3 linked regions of the Sus scrofa genome follow. The protein of the gene in region 3 binds, or shares a complex with, the protein of the main gene of each other region. Links are inferred from orthologs where the notes say so. Each region holds a gene or a part of one and is shown on either strand. Other genes may lie near its edges.

Region 1 (3,738 bases), about 25 Mb from region 3:
GTGAGGGTGCCACTGGCGCCTGCCTGGTCCTCCCCAGACAGCCCTGACAGTGTCAGGAGCCCCAAGGTGTGGGCTCATGCTGTCCAGGACCCGCTCCATTGGGCCTAGCATTTCCTGCGGGAGCACCTGGAAGCTTACACCTGGCCCCACCCTCAGCAGACATCACGCTCAGGTTCTTGGCACCCAAAGCTGACACGTTTTTCTCTTATTCCCAGCCCATGTCTAGCTACTGCCTCTTGGCTGAAAATTCGTACATCAAAATGGTGAGTGAGAAGTGTGTTTCAGAGAGCATGGTCCACGGAAGGCTCGGGGGGGTCCTTTCTCTGTGAGGGTGTGTGGAGGCAGAGCCGTGCATCGGGAATAGCTAAAATCTGTGTACATATCTGAAACTCAGTGTCCTTGAGTGAGGGTCCAGAACGTTCCTTCCTTTGCATACTTGTGCTCACACTTTTGGGCCTTCATCCAGGCCCAGAGGGGCCCCTGGTGGGCTCCCTGCACTGCTGACCTTGCCTTGCTCTGTGCAGACATACGATGTGCAGGGCAGCCTGCAGAAGGACAGCCAGGTCACCGTGTCCGTGGTCCTGGAGAACCAGAGCAGCAGCTTCCTCAAGAGTATGGAACTCAACGTGCTGGACTCACTCAACGCCCGGCTGGCCCGGCCAGAGGGCTCCTCAGTCCATGATGGTGTCCCTGTGCCTTTCCAGCTGCCCCCTGGTGAGTGGCCCCAGGACTGGCCATCACTGAGGGCAGACCCTGGGTTGTGGGGTACCTGCCACCTGCTGGGATAGCCACACACACGCTCCCAGGCTGCACCCTGCGCTGCTTTTCAGGCCCCTCTCACCCTCACTAGGCATCTCCAACGAAGCCCAGTTTGTGTTCACCATTCAGAGCATCGTCATGGCGCAGAAGCTCAAGGGGACACTATCCTTCATTGCCAAGGTACGGGGAAGCAAGGCAGCAGTGGGGCCGCCAGCTGAGAGAACCCCTACTCTGGAGCCATGCCCACACTCACCCTGCATCCCTACTCCAACAGAATGACGAAGGCTCCACCCATGAGAAGCTCGACTTCAAGCTGCACTTCACCTGCACCTCCTACTTGGTCACCACACCTTGCTACAGGTATGCCCCCTTCCATGCTGTGCCAGGCTCTGGGTGCAATCACCTCAGCCATGCTCTCTGATTTAAGGTGTGAGAGTGCACGGACTGTCGGGTGACCGGTTTATGGTGAGCACAAAAAGCCCAGCATATCTGCTGTGCCGGCCAGCTCAGCTGCATAACACTGAGCGCAGGTCCTGTGGTCCAAGCACAGGTATTGGTTTCCTCCCAGTGCTGCAGGCTGAGACCAGTGATGGCAGAAGTGGGTCATCCTGAGGCCATCCTGTTTGGAGTGCAGACGGTCACGTGTCTTGTTCTCACAGGGACCCCAGTCTCAAATGCAGTTGCATTCTGACGTCCTGGGGGTCTGGGCTTCAACATAGGAGTTTCGGGGACATAGTCCAGCTCTTGATTTCTCACAGCACCCTTGGAGACCCTAAGCCACAGGCACACACCAAGGCCCCCTGTTTTTACTGTCCCGTTCCGTCCCTTTCCCACAGTGATGCCTTTGCCAAGTTGTTGGAGTCTGGGGACCTGAGCATGAGCTCAATCAAGGTTGATGGCATTAGTATGTCCTTCCAGAACCTTCTGGCAAAGATCTGTTTTCATCACCGTTTTTCCGGTAAGGGATTGGACATGGCTGATAGATGGCTCTGCTTTTCTACACATGTGACTCCTCCCCACCCCAGGGCTGGCCCAGCCTCACCCCTTGCCCTCTGTTGTAGTTGTGGAACGAGTGGATTCCTGCGCCTCCATGTACAGCCGCTCCATCCAGGGACACCACGTCTGCCTCCTGGTGAAGAAGGTGAGCCCTCAGGAAGGTCCCACCCAGCCTTTCCACTCCTCAGCACTGTGCCTTTGCAGCTTTGAGCCCTGTTCAGGAGGATGTTGGCCTATCCTGCGCTCCTCTGGCCTTGGCACTGGGACCTCACCAACTAAGTGGGGAGGCATTCCTTCCTCTAGCCTTTTGTAGAAGAGGTGGCGTGTAGTCAGTGTACATCTTCTTGCATGTTATGTAGAATTCACCAAGGAAATCAGGTCAGGGGCCTTCTTTTTTGAAAGGTTTTTATCTACAACTTCAACTTCTTAAAATTGCAGGAATTCTTTTTTTTTTTTTCTTTTGTCCTTTTGTCTTTTTGCCACTTCTTGGGCCACTCCTGCCGCATATGGAGGTTCCCAGGCTAGGGGTCGAATTGGAGCTGCAGCCACCAACCTATACCAGAGCCACAGCAATGCAGGATCCAAGCTGCGTCTGCAACTTATACCACAGCTCACGGCAACGCCAGATCCTTAACCCACTGAGCAAGGCCAGGGATCGAACCCGCAACCTCATGGTTCCTAGTCAGATTCATTAACCACTGAGCCATGACGGGAACTCCAAAATTGTAGGAATTCTTAATTTATCTGTTTTTTCTTGTATGAGTCGTGGTAGTTTGTGGTTTTCAAGATGTGGTCCATTTCATCCTAGTTACAGAGTTGATCATGGGTTGAGTGTTCTTGTCCTTTTAGTCTCTGAGGGATCAGTGAAAACCTTCCCTCATTGCTGATGTTGGTAATTTGTGTCTTCTCCCATTTTTCTTGGCTAGAAGACTTACCCATTTTGTCGATCCTTTTTTTTTGTGACCCTGCCAGCGCCATGCAGAAGTTCATGGGCCAGGGATCAAACCAGAAACATAGCTTTAACGCCAACTCCTTAACCCACTGAGCCACCAGGAAATTTCTTGTTGCTCTTTTGAAAAATCAACTTCAGAAATAACTTTTTTAGGGCGACACCTACAGCATACAGAAGTTCCCAGTCTTGGGCTCGAATCAGCTGCAGCTGCCAGCCTGCACCACAGCCACAGCAGGGCCAGATCTGAGTTGCATCTGCGACCTATACCACAGCTTACAGCAACACTGGATACTTAACCCACTAAGTGAGGCCAGGAATCGAACCCGCATTCTCATACTAGTTGGGTTCATTACTGCTGAGTCACAGTGGGAACTCCCAGAACCAACTTTTAAAATAAAGTTACTGTGTGAGGTTTTTTTGTGGCCCAGTGGGTTAAGGATCCACCATTGTCAAGCTTGCGTTGCTACTATGGTATAGGTTTAATCCCTGGCCCAGGAATTTCCACATGTAGTGGGTAGGCGCCAAAAAAAAAAAGTTACCATGTTTTTAAACAGTAAGTAAATTTTATGGAGTTATGCTGCCTAGCTCCTTACTTCTATTTGGGGTTTATTTTGCTCCTTTGTGAGGTTGTTAAGGTGGAAACTTGGACCTTTCCAAAAGACCTGTTTATTCTAAGAAAATGTTTAGTGCCATAAATTTTTCTCTAAGCATTGCCCTTTAGCTGAACCCTGCAAATTTTAATGATTTATTTTCATTTCTGTACAGTTTAAAACATTTTCTAATTTCTATCAAGACCTCTTCTATGTCACATGGATCAGAGTTTCCTGTTGCTTTTGTGTTACTGACAAGCCATTGAACTGTGGTCTTTGTGGACAGGAGTTCCGTAGGTGCCTGGAATTGTTCAGTACTTGTCACCTAGGTCCCCTTGGTTGATGGTGCTTTTGATTCTTCTGGGTCCTTGAAGATTTCCTCTCTGCTGGCCCTTGATGATATGAGCAAGGAATGTGAGACCAGTGTCTCCAGCTGGTCCG
Region 2 (3,738 bases), on a different chromosome or scaffold from region 3:
AAGGCTGGCAGTCAGTGATAGGAGGCAAAGAGGACACCCAGTCCCGTGGCTCCCCAGCCAGGGCAGGGGGCCCCGGGAGACTTGCCTGCATCAGAGAGATCTCGTAGGGAACTGCTGAGCGCGCCCCGTTTGAGCCCATCGCCTGCCCCATACGTGTCCTCCAGGCTGCTTCGGGCCAGCGTGCCATTCACGGAGTCCTTGGCCCCTCCGGGCTGTGAGGCGTTAGGCCGCATCAGACCTTTCTGCTTCTCCAGCTCCGCTGCGTGGCAGTGGGGGGAGACATGAAGCAAAGGTCAGGGACAGGAGTGAGAGGCCACCTGACTGACCCCAGCCCTCTTTGGGCCTCCCGTCTCCTCACTCGCTCTAGACAGCCAAAAATCTAAACTAGAGTCCTGCTCTGCCCCATGGACAGCCAACCTCAGTTACATCTCCTAAGTCTTGCAGCGCCCAGCCCTTCACGCATCATCTCCTCTGGTTCAATCTTCCCTTGTCCCTCTCGGTGCCTGCTCCTCCAGCTCGTGTCCCCTTGCATCTCCCCTCCCCTGCCTAGTCTCTCAAACCACTCCTGCCTTTCAAAACAGAGTGTTACAGCGGCTGCTTTGTTCCCAGGAGGGGCAGGAAGGCCCTTCAAGCCTATGGCAAGAGGCAGTCAATCATTCCAGAGCCTGCTCCATTCTCAGATACCTTGCTCCAGAGCAGGGGGCTCCTGGAAGGACAGGAGCAGAAAAGCAACAGGAATCAGATCCTCTATTATGTGCCAGCAGTATGCTGGGGGCGATGCGTATCTGATCTCTCAATCCTCACACCAGTTCAGAGGTAAGTATGAGCAGCCACAGCTTTCAGAGGAAGAAACACAGAGCTTGCCCAGAGTCATACAGCTGGAAATGGGGGAGCCCACACCCTGGAAGCAGGTCAGAGCCTGTGCCTCCCTGTGGAGGTCACGGAGACTTCTACTTATTGCCCTCCCCTCAGCCTGGCATGCTCACCCCTCTTTCAGAAGGTCTCCAGGGTCTCAAGGATCTGGTGAGCTGAATGAGTGTCCCTGCCTTGCTGAGAAGCAGAGCAGACCCTGAAGCTGTGAAGGCCTCTCACCAAGGAGCTGTCAGCTGCCTCTGTCTCTCTCTGTCTCTCTCTACCTGCCTCTTTTTCCTTAACACGGTATTACTTAACTTCCACTGCTTAGCCTGAGAAGAGAAAACGTAGAGGGCACTGGGAGGAATGAGATGTAATCCCTATTTTCTGTTCTTTCTTTGCCTTTTAGGGCTGCACCCACGGTACATAGAAGTTCCCAAGCTAGCTGTCCAATTGGAACTGCAGCTGCTGGCCTACGCCACAGCCACAGCAACGCAGGATCCAAGCCACATCTGCGACCTACACCACAGCTCACAGCAACACTGGGTCCTTTAACCCACTGAGCGAGGCCAGGGATCGAAAACACATCCTCACAGATACCAGTCAGGTTCATTACCGCTGAGCCACGATGGGAACTCCCATTAATTTCCATTATATAGGATTGAAATGGTTCGAGGTAGTCCCTGAAGGCCAGGAGGATGGGTCCACCGGAACTCAGTTTGGGATGCAGAATGTGTGGAGAAAAGAGAGGCTGGGAAGGGGAGTGACATTTGTTGGACACCTAGGATGTTCAACACGCATGTCCAATGAACATGTAGGATAAATCAGAGTTCCCGTCGTGGCGCAGTGGTTAATGAATTCGACTAGGAACCATGAAGATGCAGGCTCGATCCTTTGCCTCGCTCTGTGGGTTAAGGATCTGGCGTTCCCGTGAGCTGTGGCGTAGGTCACAGATGAGGCTCAGATCTGGCGTTGCTGTAGCTGTGGTGTAGGCTGGAGGCTACAGCTCTGATTAGACCCCTAGCCTGGGAACCTCCATATGCCGCAGAAAAGACAAACAAAACAAAACAAAAACAAAACAAAACAAAACATGTAGGATAAATTCTCCACCTTATCCCATTGAAATCTCCACATCTCTATGAAGAGGATTTCACCACCTCAATTCCATGTAGAAGGAAATCGGGGCTCAGAGAGTCAGGCAACTGGCCCCAGTTCACCCAGATAATAAGTAGCATACCTGGGATCTGAAACCACAACTCCTACCTCCAATACCCTGATTCTTCTCCCTGCTGCCTTTCAATAGAAGGAAGAGTTGGCTCAAAATGAGGGCTTGGAATAATAATTTGAGGTTGAGAGGTAATGAGCCCCTCACCACTCCAGGTATTCAAGCAGAGGCTGAAGCATTCCTGGAATGAGGGTAGGAAGGTTGGACAAGCTAACCCTCAACTCTGAGCTTTACAAAGGACAAGATTCCCAGTGTCTGCAAGGCATGGTCTCAGGCAACGAGGAAGGAGACGTGGCTGGGCTACTCACACTCCACCCGGTATTTCTCCATCTCTTGCACCTCAGCAATGGACTCGCGCAGGTCAGATGTGAAGCGCAGCCGGTCCTGGAGGCTGGGGGCATTGAAGATGATGAGGACTTTGCGCTCCCCGCCGGGTACCGCAGACAGCAACTTGATCCCAAACTGGTAATCTGTGTGGAAGGGGGAGGTGAGGTACCTCTGTCAGAAGTGAAGCAAAGTGGCTCATACGTGAAATAATTTTTCTCATGTCCAATTCTGATCCAGCCTCTTCTCTGCATGAGCAGCAGCAGCAGCTCCGCTTTGCTCCAAAGCCCCCAAACTCTTGGGAGTCATGGCCCTGGTACTCCCTTACACCCCAGGTGTAAAGGTAGACTGAACTCTTGCTGCTCTCTGGAACCCCTTCCTTCACACCTCTGCCTCTACTCACATTGCTTCTGCTGCCCAGAAGGCCACCCATCAAAGCTCCTCTGGCTCAGTCCTTCAATGCGCCGCGGGATCACCATCTCTCCGGCCCACCAGAAAACGTACGTGCTGAGGTTCTCTGCCAGACCATGAGCTTCCCAGGGCAGAGACCCAAGTCATACTCCACCCTGGCCTGCCTTGCATCCCGGGACCAAGTAGGTGCTTTGGAGACCTTAGCCCAGTTATAAAGGAGTCCAAGAAGGAGAGGTTGGTGTGGAGGAAGGATGAGCATGGGGCGCGGGGGTGGGGTGGGGGTGGGGGTGGGGGCAAGGCAAAGACTGTTGGGATGCTGGGATCCAAAAAGGGACTCACATGAATTCTGGAAGAGCTGCATGTGCATTTCCACGAGAGGAAAGGACTGACGGAAGCTGTACGTCACCAAGATCTTCTTCTTCTGGAAAATTTTGGTGACCTTTGGCAGGGGTGGGAAAAAGACAAGAGGCAGGGTTTGGGGTGGGGAATTTCCACATGGCACCTATTTCTTGTAGCTGTCCTCCCCTCCCACCACCATGAACAGACATGTACGCACAAACACACATACCCACAAGTTGGGGAGAAATGAAGCTTGCAGAGCAGAACAGGAGAGACGGGAGAAAAATGCAAGTTCCTGATATAATGATGATGCACAACAGGCACTTAGGATTTTTAACAGGAACTAACTTAATGCTGCTCCCTCTAGGAAGCCTGTTCTAACATGTCACATAGACATCCTCTCCCACCCCACCCCATTCTCTGAGCTTCCAGAGTGCTGGTTCAGTGTCTTTCACCATGAGGCTTTAGGAGAGCGCTCTGAGTGTGTGATTGCTGGACTGGCGGTGCCCAGGGGAATCTAGTTTTCACGCATTTCGCCCACCTCAACCAGACCCATCGCACATCAGCAATCTCCAATAAACCAATGT
Region 3 (2,827 bases):
TCCAGGGATGGGGGATTAGGAATGTAGGGCAAAGCCCCTTCCTAGCCTTGACAGTGGCTTCCATCCACCAACACCCTCTCAGTGATCCACGTGCAAGTAGCTCCCTACCTGCTTGGAACAAGTTCTCTGGTTCATTTGGTTTTCTGTCAACACTCACACAGAGTTCTTTACAGTTGAAAGCTACCACAGTGTGGCTTCACTTAGATGCTAAAAATCCAGATTCCTTAGCTTTCAGCATTTGAACTTTCTCCCTTCTTGTTTGCAACTAAAACTGTTAAAGAGTGAAAGTGCTGAATGTGGAGGGGCCAGGCCTAGGCAGCCTTGGTGCCCTGGGGACATTTCAGGATGGGAGATCTCCTCTTCCCATGAGCAGCACTCTCCCACAAATGACAAATTACGGTCACTTGTGCCTTCCTGCAGATCTGGGTGTCTGGGGCTGGCTGGGCTCTGACCTTGTGTCCTAGCCAGCTTGATGGTATCCCAGTGTTTCTGCTCTACTGGGTAAGGAAAGCCTGGGAGGAACATGTTCTTGTGTGAGCATGTTGCTACACGGAATAGGCCTTCTCTCAAGGATAGCACTGACCATAGCTTTCGGCAAAGTTTCCCCTGACAGGCTCTCCAGGACCGTTGCTGTGAGTTCACCTTTGGACTGCATGCCTTCATGTGCTACCCTAGAGCCCAAGTGTTTTCACCCCCTGGTCCTACCTGCAGGATGTGCTAAGCTCTCAGCATGTTAATAAAGGTTGGCTTTTGGTCTCTGCCATGGGCCCTTCTAGCTCCTTGTGCTTTGGTCATCTTAACATGGACTGTGTTTCACTGAGACTTGGGGCAGTTGGGAGGAATGGTAGGACCTGGCAGTGGTTGTTTCTGGCTCCTTGAAGAGCTCTGTTAGATGGTGGAGAATCTAGCATTCATTTGAAAGCCACACCTCTTCATGCATGTTGGACATTACCTCCCACAGTGGCAGGTTGAAGGTCTTAAAGGTAAGTTGCCCTGTGACCTTGGGCATCATTTCCGGAGATAATGGCAGCAGCTGTTTCAAATTCCGGTCATCCTTATTCTAAGATTCCCATACTCTCCGTTCTAAGGGTAATTTGGGGGCTCAAGAAGCAGGTGGACGGGTTTGTCTTGTTTGGAAACCAGGTTATTTATCGGCTTATGCCTTGAGTTTCCAGGAGAGATAGCAGAGCCTCTGTCTGCCTGTGGGTGAGTGGGTAGGGGTGGTCTCTCAAGCTGCTCCTGTTCTGCTGACCCTGGGCAGCACAGAAAGAGACCCAGGGGCTTCTTGTTTCGACAGGTTTCTCTGGCCAGTGTTGCTCCCACCAGTCTACAGCATGGGGAATATCTTTGCAAACCTCTTCAAGGGCCTTTTTGGCAAGAAAGAAATGCGCATTCTCATGGTGGGTCTAGATGCTGCGGGAAAGACCACCATCCTGTACAAACTGAAGCTGGGTGAAATCGTGACCACCATTCCCACTATAGGTGAGGAGGCCGGGCCTCGGAGGCTAAGGGGTAGCAGTGGCTCTAGGGAGATGCTCACCTTGGGTCTTACTCCTCCAGGCTTCAACGTGGAAACCGTGGAGTACAAGAACATCAGCTTCACCGTGTGGGACGTGGGCGGCCAGGACAAGATCCGGCCACTGTGGCGCCACTACTTCCAGAACACGCAGGGTGAGGGTGGAACCCAGTTGTACCCCTCAAGGAGGGCCATGGCCTGTAGGAGAGGTCGGGGATGTCCTCGGTGCCTACACTAATGCTCACTCCTCCCTTTGCAGGTCTCATCTTTGTGGTAGATAGTAATGACAGAGAGCGTGTGAATGAGGCCCGAGAGGAGCTCATGAGGATGCTGGCAGAAGACGAGCTCAGGGACGCTGTTCTGCTTGTGTTTGCTAACAAACAGGTATGCATGACTGAGCTACCCTGTTGCTGGGTGGTGGGCACATGTCAGGTGGTTGGCCTCTCAGGTCTGAGGGTCTGATGAGGGAGTAACAGGACGGGTGGAAAGGGTTCCATGCAGTTTCCTTGACCCATGCCTATTGTGCTGCCTCTCCCACCAGGACCTTCCCAATGCCATGAATGCAGCCGAGATCACCGACAAGCTGGGCCTACACTCTCTGCGCCACAGGAACTGGTACATTCAGGCCACCTGTGCCACCAGTGGTGATGGGCTCTATGAGGGACTGGACTGGCTGTCCAATCAGCTCCGGAACCAGAAGTGAGCTGTACACCTCTCTCCTCCCCTCTCACTCCCTCTTCTACCCTTGCTTTACTCTCATGTGGCAAACGTGCCCCTGTGGTGTGAGTGCCAGAAGCTGTCTCCATGGTCAGTCACAGTGTGCTTCACCATGCTGTAAATGTGCAGACGCAGCCTGCAACTGGGTTTTTATTTAATGTAAATAGTTTTTGTTTCCAATGAGGCAGTTTCTGGTACTCCTATGCAATATTACTCAGCTTTTTTTATTGTAAAAAGAAAATCAACCCACTGTTTAGTACTGAGAAAGGATTTTAGGCACACGGGTCCTCTAGAAGTCACGTGTCAGACAGGCCCAATCCTCCTCCTCTGGGCTTTAGATCTGTGTTGAGATCCATTTTGGTGGTTGGTTTTTAACCCAAACTCAGTGCATTTTTTAAAAATAGTTACAAATACAAGATAAGGAGAACACTTGAACACACAGAAGGGAGAAATGTGCCTAGTGTAGGTTCTGCAGTAATCACCTGAGTCCAGTCCACTGGTGGTCTGTTTCCCATTGGGAACATGAAATGAAATGGAGCAGAACCAGCCATGATCCATTCTGCATGGTCACAATAGGATCCCTCTGATTGGCTC

The links. Proteins that work in one complex are often made in the same cells at the same time.
Region 1: the proteins of ARF1 (region 3) and AP3D1 are in contact, whole or in part, in a cryo-EM structure (PDB 9C5B), measured with the Homo sapiens proteins. The link is inferred for Sus scrofa from reciprocal best matches to the Homo sapiens genes ARF1 and AP3D1. Residues at the interface, in NP_001019397.1 of Homo sapiens: Tyr35, Ile46, Pro47, Thr48, Ile49, Gly50, Phe51, Asn52, Val53, Glu54, Trp66, Lys73, Ile74, Leu77, His80, Tyr81, Gln83, Asn84; in NP_003929.4 of Homo sapiens: Lys48, Asp50, Phe77, Ile80, Glu81, Ser84, Asp107, Met110, Leu111, Thr112, Thr113, Asn114, Gln115, Arg117, Lys118.
Region 2: the proteins of ARF1 (region 3) and IQSEC2 are in contact, whole or in part, in a crystal structure (PDB 6FAE), measured with the Homo sapiens proteins. The link is inferred for Sus scrofa from reciprocal best matches to the Homo sapiens genes ARF1 and IQSEC2. Residues at the interface, in NP_001019397.1 of Homo sapiens: Arg19, Gly24, Leu25, Asp26, Ala27, Lys30, Thr31, Ile46, Pro47, Thr48, Ile49, Gly50, Phe51, Asn52, Val53, Glu54, Thr55, Thr64, Trp66, Asp67, Val68, Gly69, Gly70, Gln71, Lys73, Ile74, Pro76, Leu77, Trp78, His80; in NP_001104595.1 of Homo sapiens: Arg810, Gln811, Gln841, Arg845, Val846, Gln847, Gly848, Glu849, Ala850, Gln851, Val853, Glu854, Glu858, Asp879, Phe882, Ile883, Phe886, Ala887, Ile889, Leu890, Asn892, Thr893, Asp894, Tyr896, Ser897, Pro898, Ser899, Val900, Arg904, Met906.

The regions. Positions count from the first base shown.
Region 1 is NC_010444.4:76,462,922-76,466,659, forward strand, and holds part of AP3D1 (AP-3 complex subunit delta-1), read left to right. Parts: intron 1-215; coding exon 216-263; intron 264-524; coding exon 525-714; intron 715-850; coding exon 851-939; intron 940-1,033; coding exon 1,034-1,119; intron 1,120-1,595; coding exon 1,596-1,717; intron 1,718-1,820; coding exon 1,821-1,900; intron 1,901-3,738. UniProt on the Homo sapiens protein: Part of the AP-3 complex, an adaptor-related complex which is not clathrin-associated. The complex is associated with the Golgi region as well as more peripheral structures.
Region 2 is NC_010461.5:46,014,772-46,018,509, forward strand, and holds part of IQSEC2 (IQ motif and SEC7 domain-containing protein 2), read right to left. Parts: intron 3,252-3,738; coding exon 3,152-3,251; intron 2,934-3,151; coding exon 2,805-2,933; intron 2,548-2,804; coding exon 2,386-2,547; intron 260-2,385; coding exon 86-259; intron 1-85. UniProt on the Homo sapiens protein: Is a guanine nucleotide exchange factor for the ARF GTP-binding proteins.
Region 3 is NC_010444.4:51,234,259-51,237,085, forward strand, and holds ARF1 (ADP-ribosylation factor 1), read left to right. Parts: upstream 1-1,296; 5' UTR 1,297-1,297; coding exon of another isoform or gene 1,298-1,334; coding exon 1,335-1,482; coding exon of another isoform or gene 1,483-1,560; coding exon 1,561-1,671; intron 1,672-1,775; coding exon 1,776-1,900; intron 1,901-2,057; coding exon 2,058-2,219; 3' UTR 2,220-2,253; downstream 2,254-2,827. UniProt on the Homo sapiens protein: Small GTPase involved in protein trafficking between different compartments. Modulates vesicle budding and uncoating within the Golgi complex. In its GTP-bound form, triggers the recruitment of coatomer proteins to the Golgi membrane.